2 linked regions of the Lepisosteus oculatus genome follow. The protein of the gene in region 2 interacts with the protein of the main gene of each other region in a pairwise test. Links are inferred from orthologs where the notes say so. Each region holds a gene or a part of one and is shown on either strand. Other genes may lie near its edges.

Region 1 (3,753 bases), on a different chromosome or scaffold from region 2:
TTGCTGTGGAAACCCATCCACTGGCTTCTTTCAACTAAGGTCTGGACGAGATCCACTGGCTACTAACGACCACACAGGTTAGACCTCTCGTTTCTAAGTGGCCTCGCGCTCCGAGGTACTGACTGTTGACGGCGATCCACTCGTTGAGGTCCTCGCCCTCGGGCAGCATGACGGCCTGCCGCAGGTTCCCGCTGCCCAGCGTGGCCTCCGCATGCTTCAGCAGCTCGTACTGGTGCGAGCCCTCCGGGATGTTCTTCTTGGGCTTGAAGGTCTTGGAGGAGCGGCTGCCGCTGTTGCAGAAAAGAGGAGAACCCCGTTACAGAAACGAAGTTTCGGGTCAAGTCGTTACTTCGTAGAGCGTACTTTCACCACCCACCACAGCAACCGGGGCGACCTTCACAATGTCTCGTTAATGGCTCTCCCATTGTGTAAGAAAAGCCATGGGGAAGTGTCTTTATAAAAAACTGTGATCAGGTAGACTGTAATAGGGGGTTAGAAACAACGTTTAGGCTTCAAGTGTGAAGACACCCGAAGAAGGCTCCACAGCCAACACATTGAGTTTCTTTTCTTCTCTTTCCAGCATGGAGAAATGCTTTACTTGTTCCTTTTGCAGCCTCCGCATGCTGATGCAGCCACTAACTTGAACCTTAGCAGGAGATGTCAAGGACTTGGAAACCATTCTAACCAGCTCCAAGCTGAGCTGCTCCGACTTCCAAAAAATAGATAAGTAACGAAGTACTGCGGACTAAACTCAACTTTACTTCGCTCGATGACTTCAGGTTTCCTCAAAAGCTCATCCTTTTGTATTCTAGTTCTGCAAAATCACAAGGCTGGATGTTTTATCGCTGAAATAGCATTTTGGCTCAAGGCCACCAAGAAGCAGGATGTGAAGTGTCATATGATAGTCAAGTTCTCAATTTTCCACTTTTTAACTCGGTCCTAAAAATCATCTTCTACTTAATCATTCGAACAGATATCACCTAATTCTATAAACATATTTGTCATATCATGCCCAAAATGAAAAATACAAGCATGAGCCCCCCCAAAAAATGCCTGGTTATGGAGGTTGAATACATAAATTATATTTACTGCTGCAACCTTACTTTCAATCTTTTTATTTAAGATTTTATTTAACAAACTGAAGTATGTCCAAAATTCAGCAGCCAGGATCCTGATCAGGTCTAGTGCAAGTGATCACATTACTCCTATTCTGGAGTCCTTGAACTGGCTTCCTGTCAAAATTCTGTGTGGACTTTAAAATCCTCATGCTCTACATGGCTTGGCACCTCAGTACCTGTCTGAACTATTATCGCCCTACTCCCCACCTCGCAACCTTCGCTCTTCGAATTCTGCCCTCCTTACTGTCCCCCAAGCCCATCTACATTCTATGGGTGACAGGGCCTTCTCCTGTTATGCCCCCAAGCTCTGGAACTCTCTGCCCAAGGATATCAGAGTCACCTTCTCTAAACTCCTTCAAATCCAGACTCAAAACCCTCTTCTTCAGAAAAGCCTTTACTTAACTGGTTCCATTCTTCACCCCTCTGCTTTTCAGAGTACCACCATCCACGGTCTCCTCTGCATATTGTAATTGTGTTTTATGCTTTTTATTTATTGTTGTTCTCATTCTGTAAAGTGCTTTGTGAAGCCACCTTTAAAGATGCTATATAAAATAAAGTTTAACTCGAATGCTCACCCGCACCTATGATGCACCTACTACGATGCAAGTATCGAATAAAACCCCTCAGATCACATATCAATGTAATGTATGATGATAAATTCTAGATATACGGTTTCAATTTACTATTACGCGCAGAACTCCCATAATTTTAGTTTATTTTGTGTTAATAAGAATGGTAAATGTAATTGACCAGAATTAAATAAATACTGACTTCTTGCCCTCTCCCAAACGGTTTACTTACTTTTTGTCGTTTCTTAAGATTAACTACGACGACATGCTCATTTTTCCGTGGAGGTGGGTAAATTACCAGCAGTTCCGTCTAATTGATCTCTGAGATCACGGATTTTGCAAGGGCTTCTTCAAAAGCTTTGATCGCTAAAATGTTTTCTTTTTTCTCATTGTTTCGAGAAAGCTGAAATAAATCTTTTTTGCGGAGTAGCGGTGGTGGTTATTATATAAGCCGTCTTTTGCGTGTGTGCCAGCAGACTAAGTTAACAACAGAAAAAACACCTCCCCAACTTATTTACGCCATTAGCCATCTGAAGAGGTACAACCTTCGTACCGCACTTCTTGCTTCGTGAAAATAAAGTTTATAATTCGTCGTTTCAGTGGGTAACCATCGATATTTGTGCCAGAGTTTACGGCAATAACAAAGGAAGTCTTTTAGACAGCAGAATTGAAACAAAAGTTCAAAATAAAAACGCTTAAACTGAAAACAGGAAGAGATTAACATTTCTCATTCTACTTACAAGAGGAAACTCATTTCCAAGTCCGGATGATCACAACTGTGCCCTCTCCCACTAACGAAGAAAAACAAAAAAAATGGTCGTTGCTTACTTGAAACAATTAAGAATATAAGAGACAAAGGATTCTGAGGGAGTAATATTTTTTTTCTCCACTTCAGACAAATAAAATGAAATATTTAAAAGTGACTCGAAAGACCCTTGTTGCGACTCTCATCGCACTGAAGGGAATCAGACCGCAAGTACAACCGCGATATCGCGAGACTGGCCCTCGAGATGTGCAGAACTGTGCCAAATAACACGCATCTGCTGCCCCCTTCTGGATAATTAGCGCTAAAGTACTGTACAGTATTAACTGATTCTCAAAAACACAAGTCGGAGTACTGTACATGTCCATGCGGCGGAGCCACAATCCGACAGTTTATATGGGTCACCCTTATGTCATTAGTTTCTAAGTGCTTGGATCAAGTAGTTTAGAGATCGTTTGAAATGAAAAGAGCAAAACCCTGTAGCTCTCAAGCACTGTGGCTGACCATTCCTGACCTAATTGGACCTATTCATGTGCTTCATTGATCAAACCTCGCATGCGTTCCAGGCCTTTACAGAAAGCTGATTTCAATGTGACCTATGAGATCTGCTGGAGTGTGCTTTGCCAAGTGATTTCAAAGTATTTGATGAGACATCAAATTGTAGAAAAATAATAAAACTATTCTAATGTGAATCTATATTGTTTACAGTTTTTGCAAAGAATTAAAACCAGGACATTTCTGTAGATGTGTGAGAAAAATATGAATGAAATTCCCTCCTTGTGTACAGTGTCTGTTGGGTTAGGCTCCAGCCCGTTAGGGTGAATTAGAGTAATGAACGTAAAGGTACACCTATCCTTCAAACAAATCTGAGAATGCTCGTCACTGACCGGCAGAAAGAACTAAATCTTTTCAGTCTTGAACAGAGAAGACTACAAGGGAACCCGATGCACAGATTAAAAATCCTCCAAGTCAACGAAGTGGACTTCTCCAAAATGATTAGCGAAACACGAACCAGAGAAACCTCAGAACCTATGTGGAAGTGCAGTTAAAACTGAGAAAAAAGAGGCTCTACTTTACCCAAAGGCTGAAGTGTGGGGGTATGAAACAAGCTACCCAGCCATGTGGTTTAAACCTATACTTCAGCTTCCTCCAGGAAATGAGATCTGTGGATCAATTAGCAAATACCTCACCACATTGTACAACACAGGATGAATGCCCTCCTCTCATTTGTGATCTTTCTTATGCTCTTGTTTATTGCCAGAATGCTATATGCTGCCTATGAAATTCAAACAAGACTGTTAGT
Region 2 (3,753 bases):
CCAGGATTTAAAGAACAAAAAACAGCAATATAAAACTAAAAAAATTAAATCTAGAATGAAGCCAACATCTTTCCTATATATTATTTGTTTTTTCAATGTAACTGGCTTCATCACTCTGCTCTCCTCCCCACTGAGAGCTGGTGTGTGGGGAGTGTACTGGTGCACTCTGCTCTCCTCCCCACTGAGAGCTGGTGTGTGGGGAGCGTACTGGTGCACTCTGCTCTCCTCCCCACTGAGAGCTGGTGTGTGGGGAGTGTACTGGTGCACTATGGATGCTGTCGCATCATCCAGGTGGGGCTGCACACTGGTGGTGGTGGAGGGGATCCCCATTACCTGTAAAGAGCTTTGAGTGGAGCATCCAGTGGAGCTATTATTACTGAAACCTGCGCCCAGAATCCTGCCCAGAGGATTCTCTAGCTCATGTTGATGCGTGTTGTTTGTTTGTGCGTTTTCCTGATATTGTCTGCTGCCGTAAAACAAATTGCCACCTCGGGGACAATCGAGAAACTCTCTCTCTCTTATTTATGTATGTAACAGATGTGTTTCCTTCAAAAAAATAATTCCTGTGTTATACAACACAGATATATCTGCATGTCATCTGACAAAACGTTTTTTTTATTCTCAGAATTACAGTGCAGTTAGACGAGAGCCACGCATCGTACTCACATGTGCCTCTGCGCCTGGATGATGGCGTTCACATCCTCAGAATTGACCATGCTGAGCATCCTGTCGCAGAACATGCCGGAAGCAGTCGGCTCCATGCTGAGCCTTCGAGCAAAGAACCAGCAGTGTCCTAAATGGACAAAGTAGATATAAACAAAAAGACACGCAAATTAAAAGCTGGTAAATTGAGAAATAACTATGAAATCTTTCATTCATTAATCAAACAAAACGTTAAATCAGTGTTAAAGTTATAGAATGTAAAGGGATCACAGAAATTTAAATGAAAAATGACAAGAAAGGAGGAAAAAACAGACACTACGGGCAGTCCTGAGCCTACTCGATCAAACATCAGTGACAGGAGCGTGTCAGGGGAATCGAGGTGTTGTTGTTCTACACTCGGAGCAGCACACAGCAAGGAGGAGATCCGGCTGCTGGGAGGTCCCGGCGAGAGTGAGAGCAGCAGAAATAAGACGAGCTCTGGCAAATCATGACCACACTCAAATCGCTTCTAATGTGCAGAGGACACCAATCCAGGCAGAACTGTAAATAGTGCCGTAACTGTACGAGCATCACACCAGGACGCAAAGACTACAGACCGGGGCAGACACCTGCCGAAACAGAACTGGATAAGGGCAAGTCACAACGAACAGGAAGCAGAAACACGAATCCCAGACATCAGATGGGCAGAAGAAGCAATGAATGGGGAAGATGCAGTAGAAGGGTGCAGGAGGTCCTTCCTGGTTTCTACAGCTGGGGCCTCGTTCGAAGCCGCATGTGCACTGAGCAGCTGCCGCGGTCTTCACTGAAGAGATTTACTTGGAAACACGGGCATCGAGTGCACAGCACCCCTGCAGCCTGGAGTCAACGTCACACGGCGACTCAAACAGCCACGTACTGTACCTCCCCAGCACCAGATAAAACGCATATACTACCATGCACGCTCAGAAGCGCCACCGGCTGTCGGTAAAGCCAGTGCATCGCAAGACTGGAAAACGACACGCGTGCAATTTGTTTACTGGTGTCAAGCCTAACTGTTCAGGAAGCGAATTTTAAAACACCTCACACACTTTTTTTTTTTTTTTGAGACCGATTCGGCATTCCGAAGACGAAACGAGCAAGTGTCGATTCCGTATGAACCACTTCTGGACGGTTCCACAGTTCATTTTTTTTTAAGTCCGCATCTTCAAAAGGCTCAGCCGACCTCCTGTTATTTGACAAGTGACGCGTATTTGAACCGGGGCTGCCAGCCTCCCCAATGCGCATCGTATCGCTCAAACTCGCACTGTCACTCGTTCAAGAAATGAAGAAGAGGAGAATGGGCATGATGCAGCTCTCGGATCCTAGACTTGTCTACTGAATGTTAGGAGTAACGCTCGGAGTTTGACATGATCTGGTATGGAAGACGCGAAATAAGCGGCATCTCTTCGTTTTGCTACATCTGTAAACTCACGCCTGCTTCGCCAAGGGTTGCCGTGGGTGTAATCCTGGTTAATGTTTACTTCCACAGCCTCATTTAGTTGTAGTAAATAAACGTCTCCAGCCCTTCCTCGGTTGAGCACGACTGCGCTGCGCTCACTTCCGTATTGCGGAAACGCACAAGGGACTTCCTGTCCGGCGCGGAACCACGTGTGCACGCTGGCGGAAGAGGCGGATTCCCAGGCCCTGGAAGTCCTGCGTTTTTAATCTAAAACACTGCCCGTTTCGTATCAATACAGCACCGATTACTGCAGGAGGATGGAGCACGGGCGATCTTTGGCCGGTGGGGGGCGTTGTTCCTGCAGGTTTTCCAGTGAAATATTAAATAAAGCAACAATCCAGCTTGTTTCCATGCCATATGTCCTCTCACTTTCAGAATTAAGAACAGCTATAAAGAAGAAGGATACCATTCGACCAGTCTAGCTCTCTTGGTATTTAGTGGAATTCGGTTGTTAAGTGATCCAGGGTTCTCCTTCAGTTGTTTCTTCAGTATCAGCTTCAACAACATGGACAGGTCACTTGTTTCATGGTGTATTGATATGAAACTGTATTGATATGAAACTCATACTCAGAAGAAGATCATTAGATCTCTGGCTTGGGCTTTGCCTTTCGTGCATTTACAGCATGTAACAATGCCAGCTTCAGAGCCACCCAACACCAGACCACTACAGGGATGTAGTAATGCGCTGTATCCCAACAGGCTTTGCAAACCTCCTGTGGCAGGAGACTGGTTCTCCAGCTCAGCTGATTGGTTCCTGAGAGATGAGCGCGAGATGCCGAAGGGCCTCAGGCCAGGGGCTCCCACTTCCAGGGCTGGAGTGCCACACAGTTGCCGGCCTTCCTTCCCACTGAGCTTCGTCACTGAGCTGGACTGAGAAGTTGCTTGATTGAAATATTTGCAGGATTTGTTTTATAGTCTGAGTATGTTATGTATGAAATGCAATAATAAAAGGCAGCCTCCAGCATGTTTAAAAAGAACAATCTTTTGAATTGATAATATCAAGTCAATTAAGGGTTCAGTTATGCATCTAAGCAGCCGCGTGGTCCTTCAAGACCGGGACGGAGACCCCTGGCTTGGCTTGACCCCTGGATTATCATATCAATCACCAATCGATCGTATCATTTGTCAACCAGAAAACTACCTCCTAATCATGTGAAGAATGATCCGAGTCAACAACAACAGCAAGAATTCATAGCCAGTGAATCGAGCATCTTGGTTAAGACTTTATTTCAGACGTGCTGCTCAGTATTTACACCTCTCCCCACGTGACGTCTTTTATCCAGGACCTGTAGGCTGACACCCTGGTGAAGACAGCCGGCCTGTGCGCTGTGCAGGTCTTGCTGCCCCAGGTGAGCACGCCCCACAGGGAAGACACACCTTCTCTGCTGCAGACCAGCGCCCCTCCGGAGATCCCCTGGAGGGAGGGAGGACGTTTGACACAAATTCTCTTCAGTTTATTCGAGACTCTGATGGTTCACAGTCAGGCTCGGGGTTCATTCCAACTCCCTTTCAACCCACTGAAATGGGCAAAAAGTGGACCTGAAACCCCGACCTACTCAAAGTAATTCAACTTTAATTTAAGCAAGTATAGAGTATAGAAAAATCAGACTCTG

Evidence for each region.
Region 1: the proteins of kxd1 (region 2) and MOB kinase activator 1A interact in binary tests that used the Homo sapiens proteins (3 or more experiments, as listed by UniProt). The two-hybrid records come from large-scale screens. The link is inferred for Lepisosteus oculatus from reciprocal best matches to the Homo sapiens genes KXD1 and MOB1A.

The regions. Positions count from the first base shown.
Region 1 is NC_090697.1:68,319,501-68,323,253, forward strand, and holds the start of MOB kinase activator 1A, read right to left. Parts: upstream 2,677-3,753; 5' UTR 2,442-2,676; coding exon 2,428-2,441; intron 291-2,427; coding exon 124-290; intron 1-123. UniProt on the Homo sapiens protein: Activator of LATS1/2 in the Hippo signaling pathway which plays a pivotal role in organ size control and tumor suppression by restricting proliferation and promoting apoptosis.
Region 2 is NC_090702.1:56,035,082-56,038,834, forward strand, and holds the start of kxd1 (kxDL motif-containing protein 1), read right to left. Parts: upstream 2,198-3,753; 5' UTR 2,114-2,197; intron 794-2,113; 5' UTR 762-793; coding exon 667-761; intron 1-666. Other genes in the region: ovch1 (ovochymase-1), read right to left, coding at 3,390-3,554.